Linked DNA regions of Astyanax mexicanus. The protein of the gene in region 1 interacts with the protein of each later gene in a pairwise test. Links are inferred from orthologs where the notes say so. Each region holds a gene or a part of one and is shown on either strand. Other genes may lie near its edges. The genes, in order: retreg3, map1lc3a and abhd16a.

Region 1 (3,758 bases):
TCTAATACATGGAAAATTAAAACTGCAGTATTCCATTGGTCTTTTCAAACCAGCTGAACTGATGCCTCAGCCTTCCAGCAGCCTCTTACTTTTCCAGCAGCTCACTTGAACCTTTACTGCTGGCCTAAATATAGGTGCCATCTGTCTCTTTAACACAGAAGCTGAAAAGCAGACACATTCACACACTCATGCTAACAGATAAATCAAGGGAGGGTAAAAATGTTAATGGTGAGATGTGCCAAATTAGACAGTTAAGTAGAACATGCCATCAGCAAAGAGGATAAACAAGGCAGTTCAACCACCTATGGATACATGTTTTCCTGAAGCAATGTTCACTTTAGATGGTTTCTATCTGTTTGGGGTCTTGTGTTTGGTTCCAAAGCTCATCCATAATGTGACTCAGACAGTTGTTATTTTCACTGTGCCAAAAGTTCATTATAAACGGGCATGAACGTGCTTCAAAAAGCTATTTATCCAGAATCTAACCTATGAAACATACACTTGTATTTATAGTGACCATGACCTTAAAGAAACAGTTAAATGTTCAGGTTTCCCTGCCACTTTTTTTGACATAATGTGAATCTGTGTTATTATTATTATTGTGTCAAAATTGCATTATGAATAATACAATTTTTACATTCTCTTTTAATGACCAACATCTCACCCATGGGGAAAGTCTGGTGGTCTGGTGGTGTACGTGCATTGTCTTACCATGAAAGGTATGAAAGGTATGGACATGGTTTTCAGTGTTAATAAGTCAGTGGCAATACACCACGTCATCAGCATAGATATATTCGCAAGCATCTTTACTATTTAATGACAAAGGTGCAGGGTGAAACATAGCAATGAGCACTGGACACATCTTGCACAGGATGTAAAATAGGGCCCTATAACTTAAAAACTAGAAAAAAATATTTAAAACTAGTTTAATTTTAAAATCAATGGATTTTAAATTAGCAAAGCTAGTGTTGTCTAATTGAAGTCACTTAGTCCTTTTCCAGCATACAATAAATACATCGGTGCAAAGTATTAGCTTGAAATATTGGCAAAAGAAAATAAAACATTGGCAGACACTAATATAATTCCTATATCAAAGTGAAAATATCTTTAAATATTGAGATATTTGACCAAGCTTTTGAGCTCTCTCAGTGCATGATAGAACATTTTATACTGTTTACATCAATATTGGAACTGTACAAAGTATCCTTTGAAATTAAGAAAAATATCACAATATAGATTTTTTCCATATGGTCCAGCCCTAAACCAAACAGTCTAGTGTTGTCTTAGTTATGCTACCCATTGATCCATGCTTCCTAAAGGCACTGGGTATGTGCTGACTTTTTTTTTTATAATAAATCTTTTTTCTCTATTTTTTTTTGTGCGTTATACAACCTGCACTCACTGTTATTGCATATAATTGCTAATGAAAATCAATAATAGTAATAATAAATACAATAAAAAATATATAAAATTAGTTTGATATGACCCCTCACATCCATAACTTTACCATGATTTAAGCACTCCAAAAATTTTCTACTTAAATCTACTTAAATTTGTACTGATAACATGCTCTAATATGGTGCTTCTTTTGTATTTTTAAAGTTATATATATACATTAGGGTAGCACGGTTTGACAAGGTAGCATAACTCGACAGAACACCGGCTCTCCAAAATAGTCACACCTGATTAGTCCTTTAATTTTAATTGGCCACCTCTGGTATCGACGATCACTGTTTAGCTAGAAGCGTTTCTGAACCTACACGTTGACAGCGATGCTAGCTAGCTAGCTAACACAGTAGCTACACTGTTAGCTAGCCAGATAACGTAAGCTTACATGTAGATATTTTTCCATTTATTGACATTAAACTGGTAATGGACGAGCTTCAAAGAGCTAATTTACTAGATATACACAACTAGTTTAATAGTTATACACAAAATAACATACCCAGTGTGTAAGTTAGCTAACATACATTTGTATCTATAGTGACCATAATATTAACAACATGGGTAAATAAGTTAGCCTAGCTAGTTATTTAGGTAACAAACATACCTGGTCAACTAACTCAGTGTTACTGTATTAATAGGTTAGCTAAAACTCACCAGAACACAACGTTGACCAAAGTGTGGAACAGCACACTGTGGAAAGGTCTCTCCCACACCAGCACCGCCTGCATGTAGGTCACCAGCCGCTCATACGGTCCCAGTCTCTCCAGCAGCATGGCTTTCACAGCCCGAACCTGACCGTCCCTCTCTCCCGACCGATGCCGACTCCGGAGGCCCGAACTTGGGCAGCGCTTTCCTGTGGCCCCGCTAGCATCCCCAGCTCCACTGTTCTGCGCCATAGTTGGCTAGCTACGTTCAAGAACTACGCCAAAAATAATGATACTAATAATGTAAACAAAGGGTGGGGTCCTTATACATAAAAAAATGAATAAATATAGATAAAACTCTCTCCAACGTTAACTTGGTAGTTAGCTAGCTGTTAGCGCTGCTTAGCGTAGCTAGCTTAGCTCAGAGCTAAGCCTACAGTAGCTACAGCTCAACTGGGTGAAACGCTGTCTCGATTCCTCTGAACATTTGAGCTTAAATATCTCCCTGAATTCAGTCTGTTTTAAAAGAAGCGGCTGTAAACTCCATGTGCAGAGGGTAATGTCTTATTTTTCCGCCGTCATTTCTCCATTTCTCTGACAGTTGTTGTTTGTCTTCCAGCCGAAGGGACGGAGAAGGAGGACGGGCTACAGCTGCAGCCAATGAAAGAGCAGGATTAACGTCTACAGTAGTGTTGTGTCGTTTGCGAACGAATCATTTGACTGGAAAGACTCATTTACTGAATAGAATCACTCCCTCAGCTGATTCGTTCCTTTCTTAGTTCAGTAGTTGAGCTCAGCAGCGACCGTGCAGGCGGGCAGGGTAACTGCTGTGTGATCTGTGAATCAGTGATTCACCCGCAAATCTGGTGGCGGAGATACTATCATTGAGAGGGAACGGTGCTTTCATTGTGATGAGTTCAATGAACGTAGGGGGGGAGGGGGGGGCGGAGGTGGTTGGAGCACATGCCCGTTTGGCTCCTACTGCCAAAAGTGTCCTTTGGTCTTTTTTTTTTTTTTGTAAGTGTATGTGTGTCATACCCGTTTGACCTGGAAACATACCGCCGTCTTCAAGTATATTCCTGTACATATTTATATTTGAAAAAATTATAAATTAATGATTAAGTATTAATTGGAAGCCAGGCCACTGACTGCTATGTAAATGTGAAACGTCTTAACGCCAATGATGGAGTCGGCAGAAGGATAAAGTACCGCCTTCAGTAGAAACATCCAATCAGCTTGCTGGTTTTACGGGTGAGAGTGTGAGTGGGTCCCACCTTCCTGTGACTTTAGGCAGCGTGTTGCAGCAGCAGCAGCTCATGTTTAAAACTAATATGGATATACAACGATTTTTCTAAGAGGAAGGTAACGGAGCAAACCATGTAAACTGTGATTAGATTGTTTCTGATAGCTGGTTAAAAAGATACGAATCAAAACACACAGAACAAACCTACTGTGTGTTTAATAAAATGCAGCTGGTGTCTAGTGAGATAGATTAACATTGGAATTAGCTAGCTTATATAGGTAGTCAAGGTTTGAGGGAAAAAAATTATGTAATGTTTAACTTGCCCTGATGAGTATGGAAGCCCATTCCCGCCACCTAAAAAAAATAAATAATCCAGCAAAATGTTTTTTTATTATTATTAAGTAAACTGCTATCTCAATATTTTG
Region 2 (3,758 bases), on another chromosome or scaffold:
TAGGGCATAAAACAGAGGTATTTACTCTTAATGTTGAGCACTATTTAGGACATACAATTTAAATATGTACTCAATATATAGCGCTCAACATAGGACATGAAATAGAGGAATTTACTCCTAATGTAAAGAAATATATAAGGCATGAGAAGTTTATTCTGTATATAGTGTTCTATATTGAGCAAGAAATAGAGAGATTAATTCATAACGTAAAGAAATATATAGGGATAAATTAGAGGTATTTATTCTGTTTAAAGAGCTCTACATTGGCCTTAAAATAGAAGTATTTACTCTAAATGTAGAGCCCTATTTAGGGTTAGGATTAATTATTAATGTAAAGAAATATACAAGGCATGAAATAGAGGGGTTTACTCTCTATATAGTGCTCTAAAAAGTAATGAAATCATTTAAATAGACTTTTTAGGATTAAGTTTAAGCACCTAACCTAACATAGGTTATATTTTTATCTAGCTAACCTACTTAGTGCACTGGGTCCCCCTTAAGAAATCAGGTATTTAGGATCAATTTAGTTCGCTAAAAGCTTAAATAATAATTTATCATGTAGTTAACTAATTAAGTTATCCTAAAACACACATATAAAGGTTAGTTCTAATATAGCTTTAACCTACAGCTCAATAAAAACAGTAAAGTGCCGTTTTGGGCAAGTTAATGCTAAGCTAATGCTAAGCTAACGCTATAGCTACGTGTTGAGGTAAAGTAAATAAGGGCCTCAGCGGATTCATCGCGTAAAATGCACGATACTGAAGACCAGATACTAAAAATAAAGACATTTATGAGACTAAATTAAGTCAGACAACACGTTTGTTCACTTTAAGTTAGCTAAAACAGCAAAACTTGGCTTATCTTGCTAGCTAGGTTAGCTAGTTTGTCAGGTTAAAAGCTAACGTTAGCTTGGCTAAGCTAAAAGGCCTCTAGCCACCAGGTTTTAATAACTTTAATAACTTCTATTTTTATGCTACAGTGGACAATATAACTCTATAATACGCACATTTTCGTCTCCTCTGTGTACTGGGGATAGCTTAATGTCTTTCTAGATTTTTTAACCATACTGTTATAACGCTATCTCCCTTAGTATTGATAAATTATCGGTATGTTTGCACATACAGCTCTGTAAAAATCGCTATTTATTGGTTTATGTTTGAGTAAAATGAACATTGTTGTTTTATTCTATAAACTACAGACAACATTTCTCCCAAATTCCTAAATAAATTACATTTATTTCCCTGCAATGTGCTTTAACGTGACCCATAATAAGGAGAATTATGGCTGGCCAAAATATACATAGAGTTTTTCTTCTGCAAATACAGCTCTAAAAAAAAAAAAAAAAAACAAGAGACCACTTAAAAAATTATGAGTTTCTTTGATTTTACCAAATTAACCTCTGGAATATAATCAAGAGAAAGATGGATGATCACAAGCCATCAAACCACCAAACTGAACTGCTTGAATATTTTTTTGCACCAGGAGTAAAGCAGTATAAAGTTATCCAAAAGCAGTGTGTAAGACTGGTGGAGGAGGAGAACATGATTCCAAGATGCATGAAATTAAAACTGTGAATTAAGCTTTATGAATATGAACTAGTTTTCTTTGCATTATTTGTACTGCCATTTCCCTTTTTTTGCAATACATAATAAATGTTATAAATGACAATAATGATAATAATGTTGTCTGTAGTTTATAGAATAAAACAACAATGTTCATTTTACTCAAACATAAAGCTATAAATAGCAAAATCAGAGAAACTGATTCAGAAACTGAAGTGCTCTCTTCATTGCTTCCAGAGCTGTAACGTTATATTATATAATAGGACATGAGCTAAACTAAACCGTAGAGACTCTATTTTAGATAAAACAAGTAAGTACTAAAAGTAGATATAAACACACCGGCTGAAACTTGAGACGTTAATAGGCTAGCCATGTATATTATTTAGTAACGTTAGTTACAACATTATAACTATCATTGGCTTTATGTTTATTAACGTAACGGTTAAATCTCTCACTGTTCAGATTATCAGACTAACCAAAACAACACAGTCTGATAAACATTAAAACACATTAAACAGCTTCTACCCGCTTATATATAAACTCACCGAAGCTCCGCCGCTGTTTGAAAGGTCTATCAGAAGGCATAATTGTAGTTTAAGATGAATAAAATAACAATAATAATCTGTAGTTTTATTCCTCTCTGTTTTTATTATTGTTCTGATCCTCGTCAGCAACTCCGAGCCAGAGGCGATAAAGACATGCGCAGAACGCCACGGAGTTTTAAAGGGAACAGCGCCAAAGAGCCTGAACAGCCGAGAACTCCCACTCCAGAATGGGTTCGGATTGATGGATGGATGGATGGATAGATACGTTCACATTACCAGTTTGAAGTGACTCCAATCAAATTTTTTTCATGGCTGTGTGAACGTGCCAAATCTAGATTTATGCCAATCAGATCTGAGCTTTAAAAATTGGCTTGGAAAAGCAAGGGGGAGAGGCAGCAGATAGATTTACTTTTGCAGTTTTTTAGCTGTTTATAAACTTCTTTTTTTTTTACGTTATTAGCATGCTTTTTCAAGCCGAGACTTAACACTTATTCATTAACAAAATTTCACCCCTTTTTAAGAGAGCGGTAAGCAGAGAGGCATCAGACATTTCCCAATTGAAATCCATTCAAAAGTGTCTGTAAACTTTTGTCAGAAATGTAAACTACTCTAAAAGAAACAGTTATTTTTAGCTAGAAACGTGATAATCTGTATACTTGTTGTACTGTAAGCTTCAGTGTTAGTTCTAGCCGAAAACTCCTGTGCTAGTCACTCGTATCTTAATCAATCACCAGCTTCTGCCTTCCTGGTAGAACTTGCACTTTTCCAAGCAAGCTTGTAAAAGTCTGTTCACATACTTTCTCTCCTAGTTCTAATTTGAGTATTTAGCCGTTTAGCTCCTTTTACCCTCATTCATTAAAGACTCCCTCACGTGCTTCCTCTAGCGTTTTTTTAGTAGATGCTTTCTGCTATAAAGGAGATGACCGGAAGTAGCCAGTCTCTGCATGAACCAGCTGTGGCAGCACAGTCCTGCTTTTTTTTTTCAGGAGGATACAAAATAAAAGCAGCCGTGTCAAAAATATGAAACTGCCCAATAAAATATATATATATATAAAAATACAAATAAACGTAAATGTAAAATAAAAATCTAATAAAACTACATTTGTATACAATATTGTATTTTTACAATATGCAATAGTGTATATGTGTTAAATACCAACACCATCACAGATTTTTTTAAATCTGGTAAAAGTCCTGTTAAATGTTCTGGTACATGTAAGTTCTGTGTTATTCCCACATAAACATAGCACATAAAGTTATAAATTTCATGTTTTGGTAGATTATTTATTTGTTGCTTCCTGGTAATACATCTTACACTGTTGGAAGTCAGTTAATTACTCTTTTAAATGGACCCTGTGCAATCCATCTTAATGAGTTTCAGTTACATTGGCCACAATTGTCCTTCTTCCTTCAGCCGCAAGACACAATTCATACAGGCTTTACTGCATTTTACATCCTATTAAACTAATGGGTAATGCACGTTAGCCGTGTTAATCCACTTTACTTGTAAATTAACGATAACTCCAGCATGAACAAGTAACGGATTAGAAAACACAATTTGTTTATCCAAAATTTTAGAAACGCTAGTAAATAATCAGCTCAAGATTTTTTTTTGTGAACAATATTTTTTATTTTTAACTTTCATCGTCAA
Region 3 (3,758 bases), on another chromosome or scaffold:
TTAAAAGGAGCAGTAAAGCCACTCTGCAGAAGTACAATGTTTCACAGGAGTTTCAGTGAAGTTTCTCCAGCACCGAGACTGGAGCAGTATTAGCATTAGCCGCTAACCACGCTAAGCAGTAGCTCTTTCACCATTCAGGGGTCAGTATTCTCAGCCTGTAGCCTGCTGCTAACCCCGGTAAACACTGCTGGAGCAGCATTAGCCTAAGAACTTGCTCATTAAGCGCTAGCTCTTTCGCCGTTCAGAGTTGAGTATATCGGACTGTAGCCTGCGTGTTTACCAGGTTAAAACAAGCTACATGGTACAAACCCCTAGCTAATATCACCCTGGGTAACTGGAACAGTAAGGGTTCCTCATAAACTATTACTATGTCCTGCAAAATCTGTCTAGGACTCAAAAGGTTTAGCTGTAAAGATGCTGTAAAACATGCATTGGAACATAATCCTCCAGACTACGAACCACAATGTAGCGCATGGCAAAAATAATTATGACTAATTAACGAATCGAAACAATAATTGGTAGATTTGTCGCCTACTAAAATAAGCCTCAGTAGCAGCCTTAGTATCATCATCATCACGTTGCTCACTTCTAGTTGTTAGCTATATTAGCCTAGCCTATATTAACTAGCTTGTTAACTTGAGCTGGATTACTGCTATACTAGTAGCTGTTAGTAGTGTTTACCTTTCCTGTACAGATAGCAGAGGATGAGAGGAGAGCTGTAATAAGACAGGGACCACAGTGCTGAGGCCTGAAGGGACAAAAAAAAAAAACATTAACATATAAGTGATAGAAGCACACTGTTAATTTTGGAACATTTTTAATAAACAAATCTGATCTGAAATCATATCAGAATTGAACAGAGGTATCAATTAACCAAGTAAAAACAGTTAATTACCTTACTTAAGTAGAAATGTTGGTTATCTATGCTTTACTGGAGTAATTATTCTTTAGACGACTTTTTACTTCTACTTCTACTCCTCACACAATTATGTGAACTCTTTTACTTCTTACATTTTAAACATACATTCCAAAACACATTCCGAAACATATCCAGGCCTGAAAATTTCTATTTTGAAATTCCATGAGTTTTTCAGCTCTTTCATGACTGTACTAATTAGGGGTGTGCCATATCGTATCGTACGTGATAATATTGCCAAAAAATTTTAAATATCGTCAACGATATTATACCCTGAAATATCATGCCATATCACTTACCCCCAAATTATCGCGTCAGAGTACTACTTTTTTGCCATTTTTAGCAAAAGAAAAATTCACACTGTTCTCATTTCCCATTATATATCTACTAGAGACAGATTATATCTGTCTAGTATAATTTATTTTACTTAAATCCTGGATATATGAAGATATTCAAAGTGCCTTACTAGTATTATGACATTGTTACAAATGTGATTTTTTTTTATTTTTAATATCTCAGTTAGCCATACCATATTGCATGCAATAATACAATTCTAAATATTTTTTCTAATTCAATGTTTTGTCATATCGCCAAAAGTACTGTTATCGTGAAAATACCATGAAATATTGTGATATTAATTTAGAGCCATATCGCCCACCCCTAGTCCCAATATACCAAAAGAAACCAGTATAGTTTGGTTATTACACCATACTGTACTTTAATTTTATGCTTTTGTTTTATTTATTTTTTTTTTTATATAATGTTACATGGCATGTCTACATCTAACACAATGAGATGTACAAGTGGGTCATATATATATATATATATATATATATATATATATATATATATATATATATATATATATATATATATATGGCAGCTTATAGTCTTACTAGATTCTTGTTGTAAACTTAATAAACAGTGTTTTATGCTTCCTTGCTCTAAAACATCCAATTATCAAAAGTCAAAACAATATTATCAAAAGTTAAAAAAAGATTATTAAAAGTCAAAACAAACATTTTGGTTATATTAATTGTATATATCCACAGGGGCTCTCAATCTTTCAAAAAATACAATTAAAGCCATGGAGGGTAAAGCTTTAAGATTTTAAGAGTAAGTAAGAAAGGACTTACCCAACCGAGGATACTGTCTGTGTGTCTTTCCAAAGTTTTCGGCTGATAATCCCAACCCTGTAAAGGTGACAGTGATTTTAATGCACAGAATAAAAACAGCAAAACAGCCACTTTCCCCTATTACTCGAACTATCCGTTCCACCTTAAATGGCACTCTTGTTACATTCTGGCGCCTCAGGATGATAACGCTACAGCAGGAGCATTTAAGGTGGAACGCGAGATTAAAAATAAGACTTGGGAATATGCTGAAAATCTATCTAAAACATAAACTACAGCTATCAGAGAGGTCTCAGATTTCCCTTTTATAATCCTAACTGATAGTTAAGACTCTCAAAACCTAATTTCAGTGATTAATTTGTGTACATTTACAGTTATTCTGACAGACTGACATTAGCTAGTTAGCTAACTACAGTGCTAGCTAAGGTTAGCCTGTCAACTCAAAGCCCTGCACTTCCCTAGCGGCTCTTAACGAGCCCAAACCCCGAGTTTTAGCCCGTTTTGCGGGCTGTTAAGAAGGGGATCAGCTCGTACCCGCCTCCCGGCTCTTCCCTCAGGTCGGGGCTGCTCGAGCGGGCGGTGGATCCGGTGCAGGCTGGGCCCGAACAGGCAGCGGAACCACAACCAGCCGGCCATCCTTCCTCGGTCGACGGCTACGGAAGCCGGAGTGGGTGAACTGAGCTAATTCAAAACATTCAAAACTGTAAATATAAAACTGTGATGTGTACATTAAATTCTATTCAATTCTACAGTTATATATGCTATATATTAATATATATGCACAAATACTGCAGGTGGTAAGAGGCTATACCTTATTAAACTCCTGTTTAAACATCTGTAAAAAATTAACATCTTATTTCTGACAATTTTATATAAGGACAAACAATGTTTTTTAAAAAGTTATTTTAAATGTAAAAAAAAATTAATTAATCCACTACATAAGCAATGTGCAATATTTAAGGTGATAGCTGCATAAATTGTTTTTTAACACATTATAATGCTTATGCATTATAATCTAAGTCTTTCATTATTATTATTAATATTCCCCATTTGAAAAACATGGAAAATTAAGCGTTCAGCAACATTTCAAACTAGTGATCACCTTTTTTGAGCTACAAACACTGCAGTTTGATCATTTATGCTTTTAATGCTTTTAATGTAAAAAAAAATCTAGTACATACACAAATTGCAATATTTGAGGCAATAATAGTTTCATAATTTTGAAAAAAGTCAAACACACACACACACACATTAAGGATGCAGATAAGTGCAGATGCAGATAAGTGGCAGTGCAATAATGCAATGATGCTTATTTGCTTTTAAGAAGCCTTCTCTTTGGAAAAATTCTCATTATTTTAAGATAATTTTTTTAGATGCTTAAAAGTTATTTTAGACATTTTATTATCTTTAAAATAACTTTGAGGTGTTTTCACAATAGTTATCTCTTTTATTCTTCGTATTTCAACTTATTTGTCAAATGTTTGTAGGCAGAAATTAATATATGTGCATGAATCACTATATGTGTGAAATGCATTAGAAAAAAAAAAGAAAATAAAAATAAAAATATATATATATTTGTAAAGTATTTATAAAATACATTTGAAAATTTTTAATTAAAGTAATGCATTTGCGTTATACTTAAAAAAATAATAATAAATATATATATATATTTTTATTATTATTTTTTTATTATTATTATTTTTAAGTAT

Evidence for each region.
Region 2: the proteins of retreg3 (region 1) and map1lc3a interact in binary tests that used the Homo sapiens proteins (3 or more experiments, as listed by UniProt). The link is inferred for Astyanax mexicanus from reciprocal best matches to the Homo sapiens genes RETREG3 and MAP1LC3A.
Region 3: the proteins of retreg3 (region 1) and abhd16a interact in binary tests that used the Homo sapiens proteins (3 or more experiments, as listed by UniProt). The link is inferred for Astyanax mexicanus from reciprocal best matches to the Homo sapiens genes RETREG3 and ABHD16A.

Annotation. Positions count from the first base shown.
Region 1 is NC_064426.1:23,157,061-23,160,818, reverse strand, and holds the start of retreg3 (reticulophagy regulator 3), read right to left. Parts: upstream 2,901-3,758; 5' UTR 2,343-2,900; coding exon 2,101-2,342; intron 1-2,100. UniProt on the Homo sapiens protein: Endoplasmic reticulum (ER)-anchored autophagy regulator which exists in an inactive state under basal conditions but is activated following cellular stress.
Region 2 is NC_064431.1:33,920,537-33,924,294, forward strand, and holds the start of map1lc3a (microtubule-associated proteins 1A/1B light chain 3A), read right to left. Parts: upstream 2,275-3,758; 5' UTR 2,148-2,274; coding exon 2,108-2,147; intron 1-2,107. UniProt on the Homo sapiens protein: Ubiquitin-like modifier involved in formation of autophagosomal vacuoles (autophagosomes). While LC3s are involved in elongation of the phagophore membrane, the GABARAP/GATE-16 subfamily is essential for a later stage in autophagosome maturation.
Region 3 is NC_064413.1:5,137,252-5,141,009, forward strand, and holds the start of abhd16a (phosphatidylserine lipase ABHD16A), read right to left. Parts: upstream 2,725-3,758; 5' UTR 2,686-2,724; coding exon 2,584-2,685; intron 2,110-2,583; coding exon 2,053-2,109; intron 749-2,052; coding exon 682-748; intron 1-681. UniProt on the Homo sapiens protein: Phosphatidylserine (PS) lipase that mediates the hydrolysis of phosphatidylserine to generate lysophosphatidylserine (LPS). LPS constitutes a class of signaling lipids that regulates immunological and neurological processes.